Linked DNA regions of Zea mays. The protein of the gene in region 1 binds, or shares a complex with, the protein of each later gene. Links are inferred from orthologs where the notes say so. Each region holds a gene or a part of one and is shown in the gene's direction. Other genes may lie near its edges.

Evidence for each region. The genes of interacting proteins can lie anywhere in the genome.
Region 2: mediator of RNA polymerase II transcription subunit 25 (region 1) and Mediator of RNA polymerase II transcription subunit 21 share a complex: the UniProt entries of both Arabidopsis thaliana proteins name them as parts of the mediator complex. The link is inferred for Zea mays from reciprocal best matches to the Arabidopsis thaliana genes PFT1 and MED21.
Region 3: mediator of RNA polymerase II transcription subunit 25 (region 1) and Mediator of RNA polymerase II transcription subunit 31 share a complex: the UniProt entries of both Arabidopsis thaliana proteins name them as parts of the mediator complex. The link is inferred for Zea mays from reciprocal best matches to the Arabidopsis thaliana genes PFT1 and MED31.

Annotation. Positions count from the first base shown.
Region 1 is NC_050097.1:178,591,874-178,594,391, reverse strand, and holds part of mediator of RNA polymerase II transcription subunit 25, read left to right. Parts: intron 1-1,157; coding exon 1,158-1,211; intron 1,212-1,661; coding exon 1,662-1,690; intron 1,691-1,942; coding exon 1,943-2,011; intron 2,012-2,101; coding exon 2,102-2,186; intron 2,187-2,518. UniProt on the Arabidopsis thaliana protein: Component of the Mediator complex, a coactivator involved in the regulated transcription of nearly all RNA polymerase II-dependent genes.
Region 2 is NC_050099.1:37,998,941-38,002,606, forward strand, and holds Mediator of RNA polymerase II transcription subunit 21, read left to right. Parts: upstream 1-1,418; coding exon 1,419-1,712; intron 1,713-2,355; coding exon 2,356-2,427; intron 2,428-2,524; coding exon 2,525-2,576; intron 2,577-2,647; coding exon 2,648-2,724; 3' UTR 2,725-2,734; intron 2,735-2,908; exon of another isoform or gene 2,909-2,911; 3' UTR 2,912-3,166; downstream 3,167-3,666. Other genes in the region: putative X8 domain containing family protein isoform 1 precursor, read right to left, coding at 3,440-3,465, 3,561-3,666. UniProt on the Arabidopsis thaliana protein: Component of the Mediator complex, a coactivator involved in the regulated transcription of nearly all RNA polymerase II-dependent genes.
Region 3 is NC_050096.1:207,962,185-207,966,294, forward strand, and holds the start of Mediator of RNA polymerase II transcription subunit 31, read left to right. Parts: upstream 1-1,310; 5' UTR 1,311-1,385; intron 1,386-1,508; 5' UTR 1,509-1,540; coding exon 1,541-1,670; intron 1,671-2,148; coding exon 2,149-2,245; intron 2,246-2,321; coding exon 2,322-2,400; intron 2,401-4,110. UniProt on the Arabidopsis thaliana protein: Component of the Mediator complex, a coactivator involved in the regulated transcription of nearly all RNA polymerase II-dependent genes.

The DNA of each region.
Region 1 (2,518 bases):
TCCAGTATAACATAGAAATGAGTTGCTTGAAATAAATGGTAAGCACGGTGCAGAGAAGATGACTAATAGGCAATGTTAGCAAGTCGTCTAGCCGATCCTAGCCGCCATGGGGCTGACTAGGTGAGTTGTCGCGATTAGTCGTCGACCAGGGCGAGTAGTCGCAATTAGTTGTCGATCAAGGCGACTAGTTGGCCATAGTTGTCCCCTATTCATCCTATCCTATATATATATCAGGATTAATATACCAAATATATACTTATATACTATATGTTCGAGAGTACAAATCAAGCATGAAGATAACTCTAGGGTGATAGCTGCACGCAGGGTTTCAAATTGGACAGGAAAACACGAGCAAGCCATCCTAGATGCAACCCATGTCCTAAGTTGCTCATCAATTCCAGTTATCCACCTCCTAGTTGTCTAACTAATCAGACGACCAGAAAACTAATCAGCCTAATCGAGTTGTAGCCCCTAGTCGAGTCCAGGATACCAACTAGGACGACTAATCACGATTAACTGGATGACTTGATAACACTGCTAATTGGAGCCTTAGGCCCTGCTGTGGCTATGATACTGTAGTGCAAAAATTGGGAGTTATGTTGCATACAATCTTGTTTGTTGGCCAGAGATTTTCAACAACTGATGTGTCAGGGTCTAAGGAGGCCCACGGAGGGGCTGCGACAGCAGCAACCATGGGCCCTCCAAGGGGATTATATAAGGATAGTTAGAGATAATATTAGAAGATTAGTTGAGATTATTTAGGAGATTAGTTGAGATTATCTAGGAAGGTTATTAGTTAGTAGTTTGTTGAGAGTTTTTAGGAGAGTTTTAAGGAGATAAGGATCTCTAGCTAGATAGGGGCGGCCAGCCGGTCTATTTATGTAATCAATGGATGAGAAATAAAGCAGACAAGAATTAGAAGGGAGAAACCCTCTTCTTGCTCGGCCGTGGGTAGACGCCCCCGGCCGACGTTCCTGCCCATCGACACCCCTCCTGCTTTTCAACTAATCTCCTAAATAATCTCAACTAATCTTCTAATATTATCTCTAACTATTCTTATCTAATCCCCTTGGAGGGCCCATGGTTGCTGCTGCCGCAGCTCCTCCGTGGGCCTCCTTAGACCCTGACATGATGTTTGCCATTTATCTGTATTTCAGGGAACTTTATCTGGCCAAAGGCAAGGACAGCCTGTAATAATTTGTAAACTCGAAGTAAGTCTTTGTTTTGCATTATTGGTCTCCAAAAAAATATAGTATATTGTAAGAAATTATAAAAGTTTCTAGTAGTTTTTTGTTCTGCAGCATTACTTAGCAGAAATAATGGTTCCTGAGTTCCTGAGATATGATGACACTTCTATGCTCTTTGTAGATCTGTATGAACAACACTTCTATGCTCGTTCAACTAAGTTTTGTGATATCTTTGACCCATCTTTTTGCTAAGACTGGAAATAAACTAGTTTTGAATAAACTTCTGAAGTTGTAATCGTGTTTTTTTAAACTTCAGGTAGAGAGAATTTAACCCCTTTAGAAATGGACTGTATCAATTGCTGCGGATGCCCATTTTGAGCCATAGTTTGTTATCACCTTCAAAGCTGGAGTCTTACTTGTGCAGCTCTTTCGCTTTTTTGTTTTGACATTTCTCACTTTAACAATGTCTGACAGGGTTATAGGAGTGGAACAGCGTCTGAAACGTAAGTGTCTGATTTTTTGCAATAAACCTTACATTTTCTTGAATCTCTGTTATACAGTGTTTTCTGTTGATTACTATGATTGAGGTAAGTATTTCTTGTTAGTTGATGTTATGTTGTCGTTGTCCTTGTCTTGAAAGAAATGATACTAGAAATTTTCATTGGGTATGTTTAACAATGGAACCTTTTTGTGGTACTTTCGAATTATGCATCTAGACTTAGTAGGAAACTGAAAGCCGTACTTTCTGCATGCAGACTTGCAGCGGACTGGCCAGAAACAATGCAGATTGTTCGCCTCATAGCCCAGGAGCATATGAACAACAAGTTTGTTACTCATTCTTTTCAATGCCAACTTGTTGCATCATTTTCTTGTAAATGTGCTGTGAATGACATATTTACTTGGTTATTCTGCAGACAATATGTTGGCAAGGCAGACTTTCTAGTTTTTCGGACTTTAAATCACCATGGGTTTCTTGTACAACTACAAGAGAAGAAGCTGGTCAGTGCCTGAGTCTATTTCTTTTTAGTCTCTACTGTATTTAAGTGGGAAAATCGTTGTGCATTGGGTCTCCCTCAGCGCGGCGCAGCGCTCTCCCACGGGAAAAAAAATAAGAAAAAAGAGAGCATACTAGCGCTCGAACCGTGGCCCTCTTCTATAGATATTCTAAATATTGTGTTACACAGAGGATAAATATTGTAAATATATATACATACTAATACATTTAAATTTAAAAAAATATAATCATGCCACGTCGGACCGGGCCGGCACTATAGACTGAGACGGTGGCTCAGGCACGACATGGTTCTCAGGTCGGGCCGCGGTACTGTTAA
Region 2 (3,666 bases), on another chromosome or scaffold:
CTACATAATTCTTAAGAGATTACAGCTCGTTTGTATTACTTACATTGGGGATGTCTGGCGTGGGTCGCAGTGAAGCCGGATCTGTCGCCCGATGTCGGACGACTTTGTTGTTCCTGTCCACTTTGAAGTTGGCCAAGAACCTCGCTTTTGCCTCCTGGATCATCTGCTCCTTGTGCTCCTCGAACTGGAGCTGTTCGTCAGCCGGCAAGGTCTCCTAAGTCGGCTCTATGATGTTGCTTGGGGAAATATTAGAGCTATCTCTTGAACCGGCCATTGAGGGCCGATTTGATGCGTCTATATTTGTGTCCCCAGCGGAGTCGCCAAAAAGTATGTTGACACCTTTTTGGAGGCGCCAATCACTTAAAAAAACCAGCGGCGGTGCTCTCTGGTCAGGCGCGGACGGTCCGCGGCACAGGACCGGACGGTCCGCGACTTGGCGCGAGGCGGTGGTGCTCTCTGGTCAGGCGCGGACGGTCCGCGACACAGGGCCGGACGGTCCGCGACCTGGCGCAGGAGCTAAGGTTCCCTGCCTGACGGCCGGATGGTCCGCGCCCTAGGGCCGGACGGTCCGCGCGTGCGCAGGGGCGGCGGGAGATCGCCGGCGGCGCCTGGATCTCGCTCCCGGGAGGGACCCCGTCGGGGAGGAGAGATCCTAGGTGGTGTCTAGGCTCGGGTAGACTGACCTAGACTTCTCTAATCGACGTAGAGTCGAGGAGAGGCGGAAGATTTGGGGATCGAGAGGCTAAACTAGAACTAGACTAGAACTACTCCTAATTGTACAGGAAATAAATGTGAAATATAAGTTGTATTGATTCGATTGATGATTACAAATCGGCCGTATACCTCTCTATTTATAGAGGAGGGGGCTGGACCCTTTACAAACTAATTTCCGAGCTTTTCCCGCGATTTTAGCTAACAAACATAGCACAAAACTCGGAACCCTAATTTACTCTGCGCACGCACGGACCGTCCGGCCCACAGGCGCGGACTGTCCGGACCGCGGACTGTCCGGCCTCCGTCCGCGCTCCTTTTGGTGCCAAACAATTTATAATTTTGTCACTCTCAGTTTTGACTTTATTATATTATCCCATATCTATAACTGATAGAATCATCTGTGTCTATAATTTAGGGTCCGACGTCATATTAATGAAGCCTATAAATGACAATGGTAAAATTGCCGATGGCTCAGCATTCTGCAAATGTGTGGTGACCGGAAGACTTGGTGGTATCCCAGGAATATGAGCGAGCATCTTTTGAATACCGGCACATACATTTTTTAGATCCGGCCTGGTCCATGCTACGTGGGCTGGATCCTGCAGACCCATTCCTGGATGAAATCGGCCTGCTACAATAAAGCCGCCGTCCTGCAAGTCTGGGACGGAGGAAGGAGAAGAGGGAGAGAGTGGTGGGGATTCGGCATGGACATCATCACGCAGCTGCAGGACCAGCTCGACGAGATGGCCGTGCTGGCCGTCAACACCTTCGGCACGCTGCAGAGGGACGCGCCGCCGGACCGCCTCTCCAGCAGCTACCCTGACCCGCTCAACCCCAACCCTAAGCCCGAGGACGACTCCAAACCCCAGGTCCAGGCCCAGCCCGGCGCGCCGCCGCCGCCACCGGCGCAGGCGCAGGCGCAGGCGCAGCCGCCCGCGCCTGACCTCACCGAGCAACCCAAGGCTATGAGCCGCGCCCTCGTCCTCGCGGCCAAGAAGGTAGGTACCCTGCCCCACTTCTCTTCTCGGTGTCCCCATCTTCTGGACCAAATGCCCGCCCGGTGATTCCAAAATATCTTTGTGTGGTTAAGTAGAAAGTTTCGGCTCGCTTCGTAGTTTTACTCGTAAGTCTGATGCTGCGAATAAGTGAAGGACCAACTGTTTAATTTTTGCTTGCTTGCCCGCGTTATGTGGAGACAAACAATGAAACCGTGTTGCCACTTACTAGTCTTCATATCTTGCTCCATTGCATAAGATAAGATGTTTATCCCAACAGTGTACAGAACAATCTTCATCTCTTGCTCCATTACATAAGATAAGATGTTTATCCCAACAATGTACATAACGTAGAGTCTTCATCTCTTGCTCCATTTCATAAGATAAGATGTTTATCCCAACAACAGCGTACAGACGTAGAATCTTCATCTCTTGCTCCATTTCCTAAGATAAGATGTTTATCCCAACAACAGCGTACAGACGTAGAGTGATGCATACGGGAGGGAGGGAGTGAGGGAGATCACTTTGTGTTAACCATGGTTGAAAACTTGAAATGTAAAGACTGGCAAACTTTAGTTCAAATTATGCTTGCTGCAGTTCCAACTTTTTCCCCTTAAATGAGGAACAATTATGGCCTTCTATGCAGTTTGATGCACTTGTTGCAGCAGTGCCACTATCATCAGAAGAGGATCAAGTGAAAAGAATCCAAGAGCTACAGGTAGATATCAGACAGTCAGATTAATTCATCGAGCACAGGATGGGCATCTGCCAAACTCCTACTCCAAATAAACTGTATGAAAATCTGAAATTTGCAGGCAGAGAATGAAGTCGTGGGACTGGAGCTCCAGAAGCAACTTGAAGCTGCCGGTAACACGATCCCCACTGTTTCTAGAGTTCTTACTATTATATGTCTAATTACTGATGTCATTGCGTTACAGAAAGGGAGTTGAAGCAGGTTGAGGTGCTGTTTAATGAAGCAACAGACAATTGCATAAATTTTAAGAAGCTAGATTAATTACGTTAATGTAAGTTGAGATGAATTTCTTCCTACAACTTATCAATGCACTGTCAAAGTCAATTTCTCTTTTAATTTGGCTCCAACAGTTACTTCTTGGTTTTGTATGTATTTGGCATCAAGTGTTGGAAACCGATCTAGCTCATAAGATATTGTGTTGACGTAAATCCAATGTCTGCCATAGCAGGTTTGCTGAAAAGAAACTGTTCCTGTGGATGGAGTGTGGAGGATGAATGCCAGTAAGAACTTTATATTCCGTCTTTTCAGATTCTCTACTAGTGAACAATAATTGCACTTAGCTTTTGTGTACTGGCATTCTGATCTGCCGGATTAGGATTGACCTTTGGTTGTAAGGTGCAATGTTTTTAGTATGAACTGACGCTTGAACTGTGGTGGTCTTTTTAATGGATCTGGCACCTGGCTTCCTCTGGGATTTCTTCTATATTTTGGTATTTGTTCAGTACCTGAGACCTTTGACACCTGTTCCTAAACTCCCCTCCAGCCACTGGCCTGGAGTAGAACTGTATTTGGGAAATAAAAGCACGGAAATTCTCTCTACAGTGCTCAGACATGATACTGGTTGGTTCTGCAAGGATACTCCCTGCTCACTCACACAGACACAATAACAAAACAAAGAGAAGGAAAAGATGCATCATTCCCCTACAGCCTTATTCATCGTCCGTTGAGCACAGCAGCAGCAGAGCAGCCCGTCGTGTCAAGCATATTTGCAGGTGCCAAGGCCTGCAAGAGGATCCAATGATCCATCATCCGGTGTCAGCTCCCCCAACACGGTTCACGGGCAATGAGACACTCACAGCAAGCAAGGAAGCACTCACTGGGGTCAGTGATGGTGATTATGCCGGTGCCGTTGAAGAAGCAGTTCCACGAGTTCCTCCCCCGGGCCTGGTAGTAGGCGTTCATGGCCACCGACGCCCGCGACAG
Region 3 (4,110 bases), on another chromosome or scaffold:
ACCCCGGCTTCGGAGGAGCCTCCACGTCGCCCGACCTAGGGCACATGCCCGCCACGTCAACAGGAAGCGCCATCATCACCCTACCCTGAGCCGACTCGGGCCGCAGAGAACAAGACCGGTGTCCCATCTGGCTAGCTCTGCCAGATAGGCAATGATGGCGCCCCGCTAGCCCTGTGACGACGGCGGCTCTCAGCTCCCTTACGGAAGCAGGGGAACGTCAGCAAGGACCCAACCGCTCCGACAGCTGTCCCTCCGCCAGGCTCCGTCGCTCCTCCGACAGCCACGACACCACACCAGCTGGGTGCCAAGATCTCTCCGGCTGCCACATCGGCATGTACTTAGGGCGCTAGCTCTCCCCCGCTAGACACGTAGCACTCTGCTACACCCCCATTGTACACATAGATCCTCTCCTTACGCCTATAAAAGGAAGGACCAGAGCCTTCTTAGAAAAGGTTGGCCGCGCGGGGACGAGGACGGGACAGGCGCTCTCTTGGGGCCGCTCGCTTCCCTCACCCGCGTGGACGCTTGTAACCCCCTACTGCAAGCGCACCCGACCTGGGCGCGGGACGAACACGAAGGCCGCGGGATTTCCACCTTTCTCACGCCCGTCTCCGGCCACCTCGCTTCCCCTCTTCGCGCTCGCCCACGCGCTCGACCCATCTGGGCTGGGGCACGCGGCACACTCACTCGTCGGCTTAGGGACCCCCCGGTCTCGAGACGCCGACAGATGTCCTAGAGGTTGACAATGGAGCGCGAGCATATCTACCGAGTAGGGCGCTTTGTGATGATCGATAATAGATAGATCTACAAGAGGGATTTATAGTTGGGTTAGTTTGACTATAGCAAAATAAGTCTTATCCCCTCTCTATTTTATTAGACGAGAAACGGGGGAGAAATAAATCTACGTACGTGATCCACGACACGCGAAGATATTTGGATTGAGTTAGATTAAAAAAAAAATACTTCTTTTTTATCAGAGACGATGTGAAAACTTAAAAACCAGTGCTTTACGTAGCAGAGAGTGCTTCAGAGAAGAGAAGAGAGAGTGACTATATTATTTTTAGGAAATAATACTCCCTTGATTTTTTTATTTGTCGTCGAACAAGTCAAAAATGAATTGGTGAGCGTCATATATAAAAAACTAGAGGTAGTATAATTTTAAAAAGGATTAATAAAAGTAAAAAAATTCCAACCGCACACGGCACCTCCTCTCGTCCGTTCGCCGCCTGGCTCGCACCGCTGACAGTGCGTCAGTCCAGGTCGATACTCCCTCTTTCCAAGATCCGGTCATTCTCTCTCGGGGTCGGCTACCGCCGCCGCCGTACGCCAGGTGCCGACTGCCGAGACCTTCTCCGATCTGTTTGCCGGCGAAGAGCGCCCGCCAAGTATTCCCACCCTCTTCTCTTCCCTAGTTCCCTGTCTGCTGTGCGAAATCGAGTTCTCAAAACTCTAACCTCAGACTATTTGATTAATGTGTGTACACATGTACACCCTTGTTCCTTTAATAGATCTGCCCCTGGTTTCAACCGATTGAACCCCGATGTCCGACGTCGAGAACCCTGGCGTGGGTGGGAAGCCGCCGCCGTACAAGGACCCTGACAATGGGAGTCAGCGATTCCTACTCGAGTTGGAGTTCGTGCAGTGCCTCGCCAACCCTACCTACATCCACTGTACTGTACTGTCCTCCATTCTCTTGTTTCATCTCACCTTGTTGGGATTAGCTAATCTGATGTTGCACGCATCTATAGAACGTTTTCCTGTACCGGTTTGTTACCAATTTTGATAGGGGCTGTGCTGCTAGTAACTAGCAATCCATTGCAACGGACTGAAAATTTTTGTAGAAGTGTGTGTTTGTCAGTAAGTCCCTGCTTGAGAAGGGAGCTAGGAGTGCTTAGGAATTTTTAGTACTAGCCTAAATCCCATTCTCCCCTATTCAAACTGGTCTCGTCTGCATGGGCCTCATGAGCGGTTTCTTATCAATAGGATATGATTGCTAAGCTAAGGCTGTGATATTGTTAGTAGTGTTGCTTGATATCATCATTTTGTGTGCCTCATGGCTCCTTGTTTTTTACTTGAACTTTCTTGTTCAATGCACATCATGTTTGGTACTGCATGGATGATTTGAATGCTCTTTCTTTTCCCAAATAGATCTAGCGCAGAATAGATATTTCGAGGATGAGGCATTTATCGGGTACCTCAAGTATCTAAAATACTGGCAGCGACCAGAGTATATCAAATACATAATGTGAGTGATACCATATTCAGTGGTTTTTTCTGCAACAGAGGAAATGGCTTGCTCATTGTTTTTGCTGATGATGCAGGTATCCACACTGCCTTTTCTTTCTTGAGCTTCTCCAAAATGCCAATTTCCGAAATGCAATGGCACATCCAACAAACAAGGTGATCTTTTGGCCTAGAATCACACGTTCACACTTGAGCACCGTTTTTAGCTTTTGTTTACCGTCTTGCAGTGTCATCCCTTCTTTCAAAACCTAGCTGAAGTTGCTCTGTTGGGCCATATTATTTTGACTTGCTTTCTAGAACCTATAAAAAACAGAAAGTCACACAAACTTGATATGAGTACTTTTGTAGAACTATGCAGCACGTATACTGATACATGTATCGGTATCACAAGGATACTGATACACAGATACAGCAATTTCCTAAAAATTCCCATTCATGAATACATTTTACTATTTTTTAAATAAAAGGATAATAATGCATATTAAAATGGATAGCAATCTAACAATGAAACACCACAATCTACTTAACTATTTAAGTTCTAATTAAAGCACAGCAGGTCTCAATTCTCAAATACAGTAGTCTCAAATTTAAGAAATTAATAAAAGGCATTCAGGTTTGCAATTCAGGCTCGCACCAAGTTCCTATTCCGCATTTGTCTTGCTTGTTTCATTCTCATCCACAACATTAAGCTGGAGATCACCCAAACCAAAAGACACAGCTTGCAATTCAGGCCCATCAAGGGAGAGGTCAGGCACTTCAAGGATGCCAATACCACCAAGTGAATAAAAAAATCTCCTCCCACATCCCACATCATTGTCTCTCCTGTCTTATATGCATCAGTTCTTTTTGGCAGACAAAGACCAAATCTTCAACATGCTCTGAGTTATGGCATTTCTCTTGACACTATGGATAAAGCTATAGATGAGGCTGGTTGGCTAAGCAATTTGGTGGCCAAATTCATCAATAAGGGAATAGGCTGTCCATGAGTTGTCCACAAAGTCATAGGGGAAACAGCCAATCTATCATAGATTGAGTCAGGATCATTAGATTCTTTTGAACAACTAGAGAACCTTGAGTACTCTTCTTTTACTTTATTCAATTTTTCCAGCACGCGAAAGAACTTGAAGCAATTCATCCTCATCTTTTTATATCTCTTTATTCTTGTGGGGTGGTTCATGGCTAGGAACGGGAATGGGTCGGGTCGACCCATTGGGTAGTCGACCTGACCCACAAAAGTAAGGCCAATAGGTCAAACGTCAAAGGGCCGCTTCAAAGTTTAAATTGGCTGATAGGGCCAGAACCTGTTGACCCAATGGGTAATGTAGGTCTACCCACTAGTTGCATAACAATATTTTTCTTGAATTTGTTGGTCTTCGTTATTTTTTGTTTCAAATAAACACGATTAGTCATAACTTATAGACACGTCTATGCTTGGAAGTATGTCGAGGAATATCTGGAAGTATAAATAGTTAAAATACAAAATTGCATTATTAATACTTTGTGCATCGCAGATCATAACCAAAATTCTAAAAAGTGTTAAGCCATTCATGATAACTAGGTTTGAACCATGCATGACTCCCAGCAGAATTTTAGAGTTTTGAACTATGACTAAAATATCATTTTGGACTATGACCAATGTTTCAACCATGCATGCATGCACATACAGGGAGCAACAGCCATTAGTTGGATCTGGCTATGGTGCCCAGCAGTAGCCCTCAGCCCACTCTTGTTTGCAACTGCAAGTAGGCTGAGGGAGCCGCCACTTGGCCACTTGCATTATTTGCACCGGCTAGTTACCTGGTCCGGAACCTTGTGCCCAGCTGCGTTAGTGTCCTGGCGGCCAGGCCAAACCAACCAAGCTGCAGG